Linked DNA regions of Xenopus tropicalis. The protein of the gene in region 1 interacts with the protein of each later gene in a pairwise test. Links are inferred from orthologs where the notes say so. Each region holds a gene or a part of one and is shown in the gene's direction. Other genes may lie near its edges. The genes, in order: aamp and aen.

What was found.
Region 2: the proteins of aamp (region 1) and aen interact in binary tests that used the Homo sapiens proteins (3 or more experiments, as listed by UniProt). The link is inferred for Xenopus tropicalis from reciprocal best matches to the Homo sapiens genes AAMP and AEN.

The regions. Positions count from the first base shown.
Region 1 is NC_030685.2:85,165,616-85,171,323, forward strand, and holds part of aamp (angio-associated migratory cell protein), read left to right. Parts: intron 1-1,029; coding exon 1,030-1,185; intron 1,186-1,357; coding exon 1,358-1,477; intron 1,478-2,367; coding exon 2,368-2,507; intron 2,508-2,722; coding exon 2,723-2,867; intron 2,868-3,029; coding exon 3,030-3,113; intron 3,114-3,319; coding exon 3,320-3,435; intron 3,436-3,831; coding exon 3,832-3,935; intron 3,936-4,268; coding exon 4,269-4,359; intron 4,360-4,849; coding exon 4,850-5,004; intron 5,005-5,681; coding exon 5,682-5,708. UniProt on the Homo sapiens protein: Plays a role in angiogenesis and cell migration. In smooth muscle cell migration, may act through the RhoA pathway.
Region 2 is NC_030679.2:110,016,113-110,023,270, reverse strand, and holds the end of aen (apoptosis-enhancing nuclease), read left to right. Parts: intron 1-236; exon of another isoform or gene 237-246; 5' UTR 247-277; coding exon 278-952; intron 953-3,070; coding exon 3,071-3,271; intron 3,272-3,645; coding exon 3,646-3,852; 3' UTR 3,853-5,189; downstream 5,190-7,158. UniProt on the Homo sapiens protein: Exonuclease with activity against single- and double-stranded DNA and RNA. Mediates p53-induced apoptosis.

The DNA.
Region 1 (5,708 bases):
AACCAAATCCTGGATTCGCTGTCTCCTTAATATGAAGACACACAATGTATTGCACACTATTAATGCAAGCAACAAGGGTCTTTGGTTTCCTTTCTGTGTGGACCATACCATGCTCTTAGATTGGGAGAGGGGAATAAAGTGGTAACTATTAAACTATTTTTACAAATAGACTGGGCGTTATAAGAACCCCCAAGCCAGCTCCTGGTGTGTCTGGTTCTGACAACCCAGCTGTGACACTACATGGGCAAACGTATCTACACCTGCTTGTCCCACATTAAATTCCTAAACCAAGAGCATTAATATGAAGTTGCCCCTTTGCTGCTATAACTGCCCCTACCCTTCTGGGAAGGTTCCCACTAGATGTTGGAACAGTGTTGCTGGGAGTTGCTCCCATTCAGCCACAAGAGCATTAGTGAGGTTGGGCACTGATGTTGGGGATCAGGCTCACAGTCGGGGTTCCATTCCACAGGGGTTCAGTTGGGTTGCCCCTCCCCTTGCTGCTATAACTGCCCCTGCCCTTCTGGAAAGGTTCCCACTAGATGTTGGAACAGTGTTGCTGGGAGTTGCTCCCATTAGTGAGGTTGGGCAGTGATGTTGGGGATCAGGCTCACAGTTGGGGTTCCAATTCATCCCACAGGGGTTCAGTTGGGTTGCCCCTCCCATTGCTGCTATAACTGCCCCTGCCCTTCTGGGAAGGTTCCCACTAGATGGTGGAACAGTGTTGCTGGGAGTTGCTCCCATTCAGCCATAAGAGCGTTAGTGAGGTTGGGCAGTAATGTTGGGGATCAGGCCGGGCTCACAGTTTGGGTTCCAAATCAATTGGTTGAGGTCAGAGCTCTGTGCAGTCTGTGTCCTCCACTTGTCCGCAAACCCATTCTATATGGACCTGGCATTGTACATGGGGCATTATTGTTCTGAAACAGGAAAGATTATAATTCTATATGCAGGGTACATGCCTGACCCTTCTTGTAGAAATGTATATGTTGTTATGGAGAGGTTAATGCCCTGCTGACTGTCTGTCTTGCCCAGATGATTTGGCCAGCGACATGGAGGACGTCGACTTTGCAGATGATCCTGAAGATGGGGAAATGGCTGATAATGAGGAATGGGAGACAGAGGATGAGGGAGTGGAAGAAGGAACGGACCCCCATGACGACAGTGAGCTGACATTCTCCAAACATACAGGTGAGACCTGGCAGTGTCCTCTCAAGGGGCAAATAGAGTGCATTATAAGCCAACACAAGGGGGTGCCAATGGTGTATAAAGATAAGCCAAGTCTGTGCTTGTAGTATGACTTGGATCACATCACACAGTCAGGAGCATTGATTGCTGATCCACTTGGTTCCATTTGTTTCAGCCTCTGTGTTCTGCGTCAGCCTGGACCCCAAAGAGAGCGCTCTGGCAGTGACAGGGGGAGAGGACGACAAGGCGTACATATGGCGCCTGAGTGACGGAGAGACTGTGTTTGAGTGCACAGGTAAATGTCATGCTGCTGACTGCAATGCATTTGTCTGCTTTTTTATTTAACTCCCACCCCCCAAGGGGCAACTGTGCAGTCTCATCTGCTTGCCTGCAGGGGTTTCTTCATGACACAGCAGCCAGGGTTGGACTGTGGAAACATACTTGGTATCTTAAAGGGGTTGTTTGCCTTTAAATTAACTGACAATAATTAATTAAGTGACATTCTGAAACTACTTGCAATTAGTTTTTCTAATGTTGTGTTTTTTTTAAATTATTTAGCTTTATATTCAGCAACTCTTCAGTTTGGAATTTTAGAATCTATGTGGTTGTTAGGCTCCAAATTACCCTAGCAACCAGGCAGTGGTTTGCATGAGAAACTGGAATGAAAAGGAGAGGGGCCTGCATAGAAAGATAAGTAATAAAAAGTGTAGTATCACAGAAAGAGGCAGAAGAGAAAGGCAAATAATTCAGAAACAATAAAAGATAAGAAATGAAGACCAATTGAAAAATTGCTAACATTCTATAACAAACTAAGAGTTAACTTAAAGGGGAACCACCTGTTTAGAGCTATAGGAGTGATTGATCTATAAAGGGCAAGTGGCATGAGTTAAATAGGACTTCCCACAGTGTTGGTAAGTGTCTCAGTTACCCTTTCCTGACCAGTGCAGTGATATTCATACATAAATCACGTGACTTTTCATCACATGAACACGGAAGTTGAAATATTTTCACCACGCACTTTACATGTGGTTCTCTTTAACCCCTTCATGGCCTACTTTACATGTGCATCTTAGGATACCTTTTGGTATATAGCTCCAGCCTGCGGACATATAACTGCAGTTCAGGCAATAAAAACAAATGGTTGTAAAAATCACCATTCAAAGTTTCCCTTTTTATTTTCCTCAGGTCACAAGGATTCTGTTACTTGTGCTGTTTTTAGCCACGACTCCACTATGGTGGCCACTGGAGACATGAGTGGCCTGATCAAGGTGTGGAAGGTGGAGGGGGCAGAGGAGATCTGGTCTTTCGAGGTGGGAGATCTAGAGGTAAGGAAATGGAATGGGTCCTTATATCTTGCCTTGCGTCTGCATTGGGATTTGGATTGGATATGCTGGGGGTGTAACTTGGCTTTCCCACCAATAGCAAAGCTGATTTCATCATTCATTTAACCTGAATTACACATCAGCTGTTTCAGTGAGTCTTCAAATTATTGCCCCCTCATTGGGCCTATGGCAATAACTTGCCCTTTTCTCCCTGCTAGTGGCTGGAATGGCACCCCTGTGCCCACGTATTGCTGGCTGGCACAGCTGATGGAAACACCTGGATGTGGAAAATACCCAGTGGCGAGTGTAAGACTTTCCAGGGCCCCAGCTGCCCGGCTACCTGTGGCCAGTTCCTGCCCGATGGTAAGAGCCATAATAAATTCATTTGCAGAGGAACAATAGATAGGTATCTGTTGTTCCTTTCCAAATGGAAGAGATTTTGTTTGCTTATCTCCATTGAGTTCTACCCATAAGGCCACATTTATGTAGCAGTCCTGGAAAATGACAGTGTTGGTATTTGTGTAGGAAGGAAAGCCGTGGTGGGCTATGAAGACGGAAGTGTGCGGATATGGGACCTGAAACAAGGAAATGCTCTTCATGTCCTCAAAGGTAAATAGCATAGTGTCCCTTGCGTTAACATTCTGTTGATGCTGCCCCTTTAAACTTTGGAGTCTTGGGTTAGCGTTGCATCATGACATCAGCAGTCGTCAATGAGTTATGATGTCATAGATCCAGGGTTGGGCACTAAGAGAAGTAGCAATGTGCCATTTCCTGGTGGATTTTATTGTATAAAACTGAATATTTCTATATTGCAGGCACAGATGGACACGCCGGGCCTCTCACGTGTGTCGCCTCTAATAACGATGGCAGCCTCGTACTTACGGGTTCGGTGGACTGTGACACAAAGTTGGTGAACACAGCAACTGGCAAGGTGAGTGGAACCTCCCCAATGCTTCTCACTATGCCCTCTAGCGCTTAGGGGCCCTTGTGCTTGAGGGGGCTCTACTTGCATTATCAGTCTTGCCTAAAACTCCATTGTTTTGGGCTGAATTGCCAATTTTTTTATGTGGTATTGGTAAAGCCATTAGAAAAGAGGGCTCAGGGGTAGTATTAGCAGGGACAGCCGCTTAGGTTTGTCCATCTGCCCATTGTTCAAAATGCAATATAGTATTGTATTCTGAGCAGTTGCTTATTCTGCTTCTTGGATGCCTGACCAGGATTCCAGTGCCTCAGTGTAAAGCTATACATGGGCAAATATTAGCCATAGACTCAGCCCTTCTAGACCGGGTTGGCAGCTTCTCAGCCGCTATCAAATTTTTCTCTACAGGTTGTTGGGGTTTTCAAGACGGAAAGCAACGTGTCCAAGGCCTCAAGACGAGAAGATGGGGAGGCGGAGTCCAACTCAGTGGAGTCTTTAGGCTTCTGCAATGTGTAGGTGGTGGGGTTACAGGGCAAAGGAACTTTAAGAGTTGAATTGATAACCCATGCAGAATGTTTAGTTCCCCTTTAAGTTCAGAGGGAAAGCTAATTTTTACTGCCAACAATATACAAAATGCCAGTAATATGAGGATACTGCACAAGTCTAGTTTTGTTATCACATAGAGGGGGTTTCACCACTAGAGGGGGCACTTGTTTCATTCATTTGACTCAGTGAATCACTATGGAAGCACTTTCCATAGTGGGGATGGGGCTATAATTTCTGTGCTTGCTTTTCCTTACTGTATGATTCATGTCTTTCCCTATTCCTTGTTTCCTTGTGTATAGCCTTCCCCTGGCTGCTGTTGGTTATCTAGATGGCACCTTGGCTGTATATGACCTCTCCTCTCAAAGTCTGAGACACCGGTGCCAGCATGAGGTAAGTACCAGGTCTATTACAATGTCACTTTCTACTCCATAGTCGCTATATAGGGTAGGATATCACTCATTGTTGCCCAGACCATTCTTTCTGTGTATATTTGTATTTATACATATGGGTAGGAGGTGCCATAGTGTTTCCCTTAGACAGTACAGTATGGGGGTACAGCTTATTGTGTGCCCAGAACATTCCTTCTCTGTATATTTGTATTTATACATATGGGTAGGGGGTGCCATAGTGTTTCCCTTAGACAGTACAGTATGGGGGTACAGCTTATTGTGTGCCCAGAACATTCCTTCTCTGTATATTTGTATTTATACATATGGGTAGGGGGTGCCATAGTGTTTCCCTTAGACAGTACAGTATGGGGATACAGCTTATTGTGTGCCCAGAACATTCCTTCTCTGTATATTTGTATTTATACATATGGGTAGGAGGTGCCATAGTGTTAGACTGTACAGTATTTTACATATCTCTTTTGTCTATACAGTCAGGAATTGTACAACTCCTATGGGAGCAGAACTCGCCTGTGGTGTACACCTGTAGCTTGGATGGAGCCGTCAGATTATGGGACTCCCGTTCTGGCAAAATGATTAGCGAATACTGTGGGCACACTGCTGAAATTCTCGACTTTGCTCTGAACAAGTGAGTAGATAAGTGAGAACTGCTGCTTACAATGGGGGGGATCAGATAGGATCTGTGCCACTGTGACAGAATGCTCTGTTATACAGATAGCTAGAATCTCAGCCATAAAGCAGGGCAGGACTGCTGCTTACAATGGGGGGGGATCAGATAGGATCTGTGCCACTGTGACAGAATGCTCTGTTATACAGATAGCTAGAATCTCAGCCATAAAGCAGGGCAGGACTGCTGCTTACAATGGGGGGATCAGATAGGATCTGTGCCACTGTGACAGAATGCTCTGTTATACAGATAGCTAGAATCTCAGCCATAAAGCAGGGCAGGACTGCTGCTTACAATGGGGGGGATCAGATAGGATCTCTGCCACTGTGACAGAATGCTCTGTTATACAGATAGCTAGAATCTCAGCCATAAAGCAGGGCAGGACTGCTGCTTACAATGGGGGGATCAGATAGGATCTGTGCCACTGTGACAGAATGCTCTGTTATACAGATAGCTAGAATCTCAGCCATAAAGCAGGGCAGGACTGCTGCTTACAATGGGGGGATCAGATAGGATCTCTGCCACTGTGACAGAATGCTCTGTTATACAGATAGCTAGAATCTCAGCCATAAAGCAGGGCAGGACTGCTGCTTATAATGTTCTCTATGATCCATGACACGGTTTCCTTCCTTTACCAGAGATGCTTCCATTGTGGTCACAGCGTC
Region 2 (7,158 bases), on another chromosome or scaffold:
TTGTCCAACTCGAGGCCTGTGGGCTGGATGTGGCCCTTCAAAGTATTTTTATGGCCCTCCATCTGCCACAGACTTCACTGTATGACAAACATTTTAATATAATCCAGTTCTCCAACATGCTATACAAGAAATATTTGGCCCACTTCATGTAATAAATTTGATAGCACTTGGCACTTTTTTTTTTTTTGCATTGGATGTATTCAGGCTTGTCATTGGGTTGTGATTCATTCTCTTAGGCTTTTGCAGTCACAGAAGCCTTGAACCAACCAACTCAAATATGGTTTCCCTGGAGATGGAAGCAGCTAGCAATTTGTCCTGTAGCTCCAGTGGATCTAGTGAATTTCTCAACTCCAGTAACGCAGAGATCTATACAAAGTGTCAGAGAAGAGTCCAAAATCGAAGGAAGACACGAAGGCATCAACGCTTCTTAAAGCGCAAAGCTTTCCTGCAACAGAGGAGACTCCTAAATATCCCTGAAACAGGAACTCAAGAGGTGCTAAAAGGAAAAACCAAATGTTCAGTCAATGGAAATGACCAATGTTTCTGTGAACAGATTGCGGACATGGAAATGGGTAGCCAGATAAAAACTCTGCTGGGCACATTGCCAGTGGCGCCTGGCTCTTCCATTACTGCAAATAAACCATCCACATTCGATTATGATGATAGTGGCCTCTCTGTGGCAGGCAGCTCCAGCTCCAGCAGAGCATCCTCCCCCCTTTCTTGGTTAAAGCCTGGGAAGTGTGTTGCTATCGACTGTGAAATGGTTGGAACTGGACCTGGGGGAAAGATCAGTGAGCTGGCTCGGTGCAGCATAGTGAATTACAGAGGAGATGTTGTATATGACAAGTACATTAAACCTGAGCTACCAATCGCAGACTACAGGACGCGATGGAGTGGGATCACTAAACACAGCTTGAAAAATGCAATTTTCTTTAAAACTGCCCAGAAAGAGGTAACTTAGCACGTCGCTGTATCCTGGTTGTGATGTGTAGATGCCAAGTTTAATGGGCAATAGACCGTTTATTTGTAAAATTATTGTCCCTGTTAGTTGCAATTTATTTACAGTGAAAGAGTCATAATTTAAAAAAAAAAAAAAAAAAAATATATATATATACATATAATATATATCAATCCAAATGGTGTCCGCACTCCAAGGCTCAATATTCTGCGGGGTGCTTAGCCAAAATTATGTATGCATAGAAAATAATCATCTGTGGCCAGCACACCCTTCAATGTTTCATCAAAAAAATTTTTATTGTAGATATATTGTTAAAACCAACGTTTCAGTCCTTGTTAGGACCTTTCTCAAGGATAAAATCCTTTTATCCTTGAGAAAGGTCCTAACAAGGACCGAAACGTTGGTTTTAACAATATATCTACAATAAAAAAAATTTTGATGAAACATTGAAGGGTGTGCTGGCCACAGATGATTATTTTCTATATATATATATATATATATATATATATATCTCCACACACTCTCTATCTATATTGGGATTTATCACCATAAGGGGCATACACAGATTGCCATCTCCCTTCAGTATTTGCATTTAAACAAATAACTTATTGTTGGCATGTTCTTTGAGTCAGATGTGAGGCATTCACCATAGATTACAACCACAAGAAGCACTATTTATATGACCATTGGAAGTTTTACTGTTGACACTGTTGTATAGAGATTATGAATCTGTTAAGAAGCAATAGGGAGCCCCATTTTTATTTGTGAATGTAAATCTGTTGAGGGAATCCTAAGTGCTGGCATCGGCCTATTCTTGCAAGATGATATATCATTGCACTTTAAAGGAATGTAAAATACTATAAATAGTACACAAGTTTCTCTTAGGGATTATGTTTCACAGCTGAAGTGCAATATACCCTGTTAGAACCCACCTTCCATTTTACCCAAAATAGATACCACTACCCAGTAGGCAAGTGCCTGCATGTGTGTTCCCCAACAGTCCCCACGTATCTGTAGCAGCAGCAGCATCTGGCATAGACAATAGGTTTAACATAAATGGAAAACTGCTTTTAGCAATAATGATTGCAGTAAATAACTGTGGAGATCTAAACCACCCCTGCACTATGGGCCTTAGTACTATGTTGCACAGGTGGTCCATCATGTCCAAATAGGCACTTATTACCAGTATTTTTATGGTACCCTTGTTTTGTGGACAACAGCTGTCCAACTACAAGCTTGCAGGCCAAATGGGGACTCCTCCACAATATTATGGCCCTTATCCTGCATAAGCAGTCTTATGACCTCTGTATTTAACATTACACTTTTATTGTAGTTAATTTATTTAAAGGGGTGATTTATTTTTAGGATGTTATAGAATGGCCGAGAAATTAATGAAATTTAATTGACCATTCATGTCCATGAACAGGAAGTGCTCCAGCTGCCATTTAAGGAGCACTGGTGTCCTCCATAGGACTCAATGGTTCTCGGCAGCTTAAACCTGGCATACTTTTTGTCAGTCTAAAAGAAGTCGCATAAATTTTATAAATCTTGAAAGTTTGTTCATGTCTCAGATTTTTCTAGCAAATACCCCGAATTTTCTAATTTTTTTTCAAGAAAAAAATTAAACGTATACTGCCAAAAAACATACGTAAATCTCAAAAGAAAGATAAACAAAAAAATTTGAACTTTTCTCAGAAAACCTTAGTAAATGGGCCCCTTTATGCCCTAAATCAATGGGGAGAATATTTTAAAAATAAATATAAGCTATATACATTTTTTATAACTTCTTGATGTTGCATCTGTTTGTCCTTCATTTTCTTACTTCCATTGTATCTAAAATACATACATACATCATAGACTCCTTTTCCTGTAAGGCAGAAATTGTGTTAAGTCGGCCTTGTATCATAGACCATTCATGTGCCAGCTAATGGGTTATACTAATGCAATTTGGCTTCGATATTAATAATCCCAGCATTTTTTGTGGCATTATCAGCATTTCAGCGCCACATTTAGTGAGCTGCTTCCAAGCTCAAATTGTTTGAAAGGCAAAAAGGCTTTTCTACCTTATCATGTTATATGCAATTTGTGGTAATCTCTAACTTGCAATTGTAGATTCTGAAGATACTTAAGGACAAACGAGTGGTTGGACATGCACTGCACAACGACTTCAGGGCTCTGAAATACTTCCATCCTCACTCCCAGATTCGAGACACCAGTAAAATCTCTTTATTAAAAAAAAACGCAGGACTTCCAGAAAAAGCTGGCGTCTCTTTAAAAACTCTTGCATTGAACTTGTTGGGCAAAAGAATACAGGTAAAAACCACAACTGAGTATTTACACTGCTGGGTAGCTACAACTATGTTAAGGAGGCAGTTTCCTATTAAGTGCGGCTGCAAGTGGAAGGAGTTACAGGAAACTTTCAAGAAATATACCACTTTCTCCCAGTAACTGCAAATTTCAGGGGCACTATAAGACATTTATATGTTTTCTCTGCACAGCTGTAAAAAAATTCAGTGTAGTTATGCTTTCATTTAGACCCCTATTTAGTTGACCAGTCTGCCTTCTAGCATCTTGCTGGGTGGTTTTAAAGCAATAGTAGGCATTTATGCATGTCTTAAGCCAGCAACATCTTCATTTTAAGCTTGCATTGAATTGAACTGTTGGTATTTGTCTTGTCCCTGCCTCAGGTTGGCAGAAATGGCCATTCTTCTGTAGAAGATGCCCTGGCCTCCTTGGAGTTGTACAAATTGGTTGAGGATCAATGGGAGGAGGAGCTTTGCAGTCACTTCCAACTCGAGACTTCCACTAGTGCAGAAACAAGCGGGGTCTCTGATAATGACCATTACATGGACGATCGCTACTGGCCAGCAGACTTAAATGATGACTCTAAATGAAGCACCACTTCAAGATGAATAAACTGTTTTACCAATGTGCAATAAACCTATTTATTGTGGATCTGAGATACAGTACAGAGATGGGATCTATTTTCTGGAAACCCGATATCCCGATTCCAGCAATGCCATTTCTCATTAAAGTTGTACAGTTTAATGTTAAATAAGGCAGAATAATTTAGCAGTGCATTAAGGCATGCTCTGTTACAGAAGGGATCACTTATCTTGAAAACCTCTTACGGATAATAGGTCCCATTTCTGTACTGTCAAATAAAATTACGGTTTGCATTCAGCTGACCTGCATTCTAGTTATATTAACTTTCAAGCATTTTAAAACTTGAACCTGCTGGATCACTTTTTTCCTGCAAAACTTGCAATATATATAAACCTTTATATAGATGCACCTTTCCCTTTATGATGTACAGACTTTACATACCATTATAGTACATGATCTGAGCAATGTCTCTTGTTTTAAAGCTCAATCAAACCGATAAATACCTGTGGTAAGTTTACTAAAACCTAATGTTATAAGACCACATCGTTTGTCTTGTGAAATTAATTTGTAAAGTGTTTAATTCTAGATTGCAACTGTTTAGTGAGTTTTAAACTCGATGGATATATATTTTTGTAATAGGGTTAATTGTATTTTCATTGTGAAATATCCAGGCTCACATTGAAAAATATAAAAAGTCCTAACAGTCCTAATCAGTAGAATATTTTCGGTATCTTAAACAGCTACACAAACAAGGCATTATGGTGTATATTCTGGAATTCTCCCTTTGCATCCTTTCCCAAGACATACTGTAGCTTTTGTCATTTAACTCCTTAGCGATGTATATGAGCAGTTTGTAGTAAAAAGTTCATACTGTTTTTAGAAACATAAACCAGTGTTTTCTCCCCAATATAAATAAGATGCCCACTCCTTGCTTATGAAATGCAGCACACTTGTGAAACTGTAACTGAATACATCTCGGAAAGATGATGTTTCACAAACATGGCGGCATACCAAACTATAGTAATACGGTGTGTAGAAGAAATTATTACAAACCCGTAAAAATAATTGTTAACTCTGTGAGCATGTAGTAACAGGCATTGAGAGTAACTAGAATAATACAACATTGGCTAATTGGCTTAATTCATAGCTAAACCTAACTGGATAAATAATCTATACACAGTTAAAATATTACAGTATACCTAACCAGTAGCATTAAGTATGTACTCAGATCACCCACCGAAAAAGGAAAGGGCACAGTCTACTTATCCCCAAAACTTTAGTACATCCTACTTGGAGCTTTGTTTTGTCTCTGTCTCAAATTATTATAAATTAACTTTTTTCCCTACGTTGCAACTGGGTCACTCATTCTTTTATTTGGCAGTAGTGCTTTTCATGTGGTTCTTTCTAAGTATTGGCTTCTCTTATGCCACTCTTCTGTTCAGTCCAATATTTCCCAGATCTCGCAGTACGGTTGATGTATACCTACAGTGAAGTATGGTAATGGAAAAATAATACTGTGGGTGGGAATGCACCTAATCCACTATTTTGAGATTTGGGCAAACCCTAATTTGCATATGCAAATGAAAATTAGGGCACAGAAGAAAAAAAAATCCAACTTTTACATTCAAGTGATGAAAAGTGACATGAATTTAAGGATTTGGTCAAGCTAGGCAATTAGATTCGGGCAAATCTGAATTGTGTGAGAAAGGCCAAATCCCAAACTGAACCCTAGATTTGGTGCATCCCTAACTGAGGCTATATTTTATCAACAGTGAATGGATTTTTGTACAAACAGAGAAATACTGCAGGAGAACGGGTTTCAGTTCATAATTAGTGGGACAGTTATATTTGACAGTTACATTTAAAAAAAAAAAAAATGCTAAAATAGACAGTATGGGAGATGGCCTTTTCCTAATTCTGAGATTTCTAGATAATTGGTTTCTTTATAAGGGATCCCATACTGGTGCACAACTGTCATCTGACTTCCCCGAACAGCAGTGAGCAAACCTTCCTGGAAGAATAGACCAAAACACTCTGAGCTATGTGGAAAGCTAGCAAATACCACAAACTACGTCAAGCATAACTAAAACCTTTTTAAAAGCCTGGGCCCCCTCTGGAGGCCTCCCTACCAAACTGCAGCACTGCAGACCCCCAATAGTTTCATTTGCTGTACTTGGTAGCACAGCAGGTTTGGGAGACTCTATCTTGCTCTGCTTAAAGCAAAACTATACCCCCCCAAACAATATAGGTCTCTATAAAAATATATTGCTTAAATTAGCTCTGTTTAGATGAAGCAGGGATTCACATTTAACAATTTTTATAAAAATGTTCTTTTTTTAGTAGTATGTGCCATTGGGTAATTCTAAACAGAAAATTGCCATTTTAAGAATTAAAGGAGAAGTAAAGGTAAAAACTAAGTAAGCCTTATCAGAAAGGTCTATGTAAATACAGCCATAAACACTCACAGAAACGCTGCTCTGACCTTAGTGAAAAGAAACAAGACCTCCACCACATTTCTTTCCTTTCATTCTGTATACATACTGTACATGATCTGTGTCAGACTTCCTGCTCTCAGAAAAATCCTTCAGGGCACAATATGAGTCTGCTCGGTTTGCTGCTCTCTCCCACTCCCTTCTGGTCTTTTCCCCCTCCCCTTTCTGCTGTAATCTGAGCTACCAGCAGCATGGAAGCTATTGAGACCAAGCTAAAATGGCAGCTGCTATCTTAAACAAAGAGGGATTTTCAATGGCGTTCTAGCTTGCACTAATCTGTTGACAATAAAATGCCACAATACCTTTCCTTCTCCTTTAAGCACTGCCCCCCTGGAGCATGAAACAAACCAACTCCCACACTTCTTCCTTTTACAGTTAGAGCTGCATTATTTCTGGCCATAGGATTTTTCGGGGATAGCACACAGCCCATCACTAAATGGTGGATCAAAGGAAAGGATGTAAAAGGTCAATAATTATTACTACTATTAATTACTTATATACTGTGTATATATATATATATATATATATATATAGTTTAATAGGGGACTTAACATGATATAATCTGTTGGTTAAGTATTCATTCTGGGGATAAAATTTACCTTTTACTGATTAAAGGGATGTCACTTAATAAGCATGCATAGTTAAAGGCGGTCTATACCTGACTTCAACCACACGCACCCAAAGTTGTTGTAAAGGGAGCATCAAGCGGGACCAGATGGCGCCTGCCATAGGCGCATGTCTTTTAGACTGTGAACTCTAATGAGCAGGATACTTTTTACCTTAGCTTTCTGTCAGTATTTGTATGTATAGTTGATGTTTACA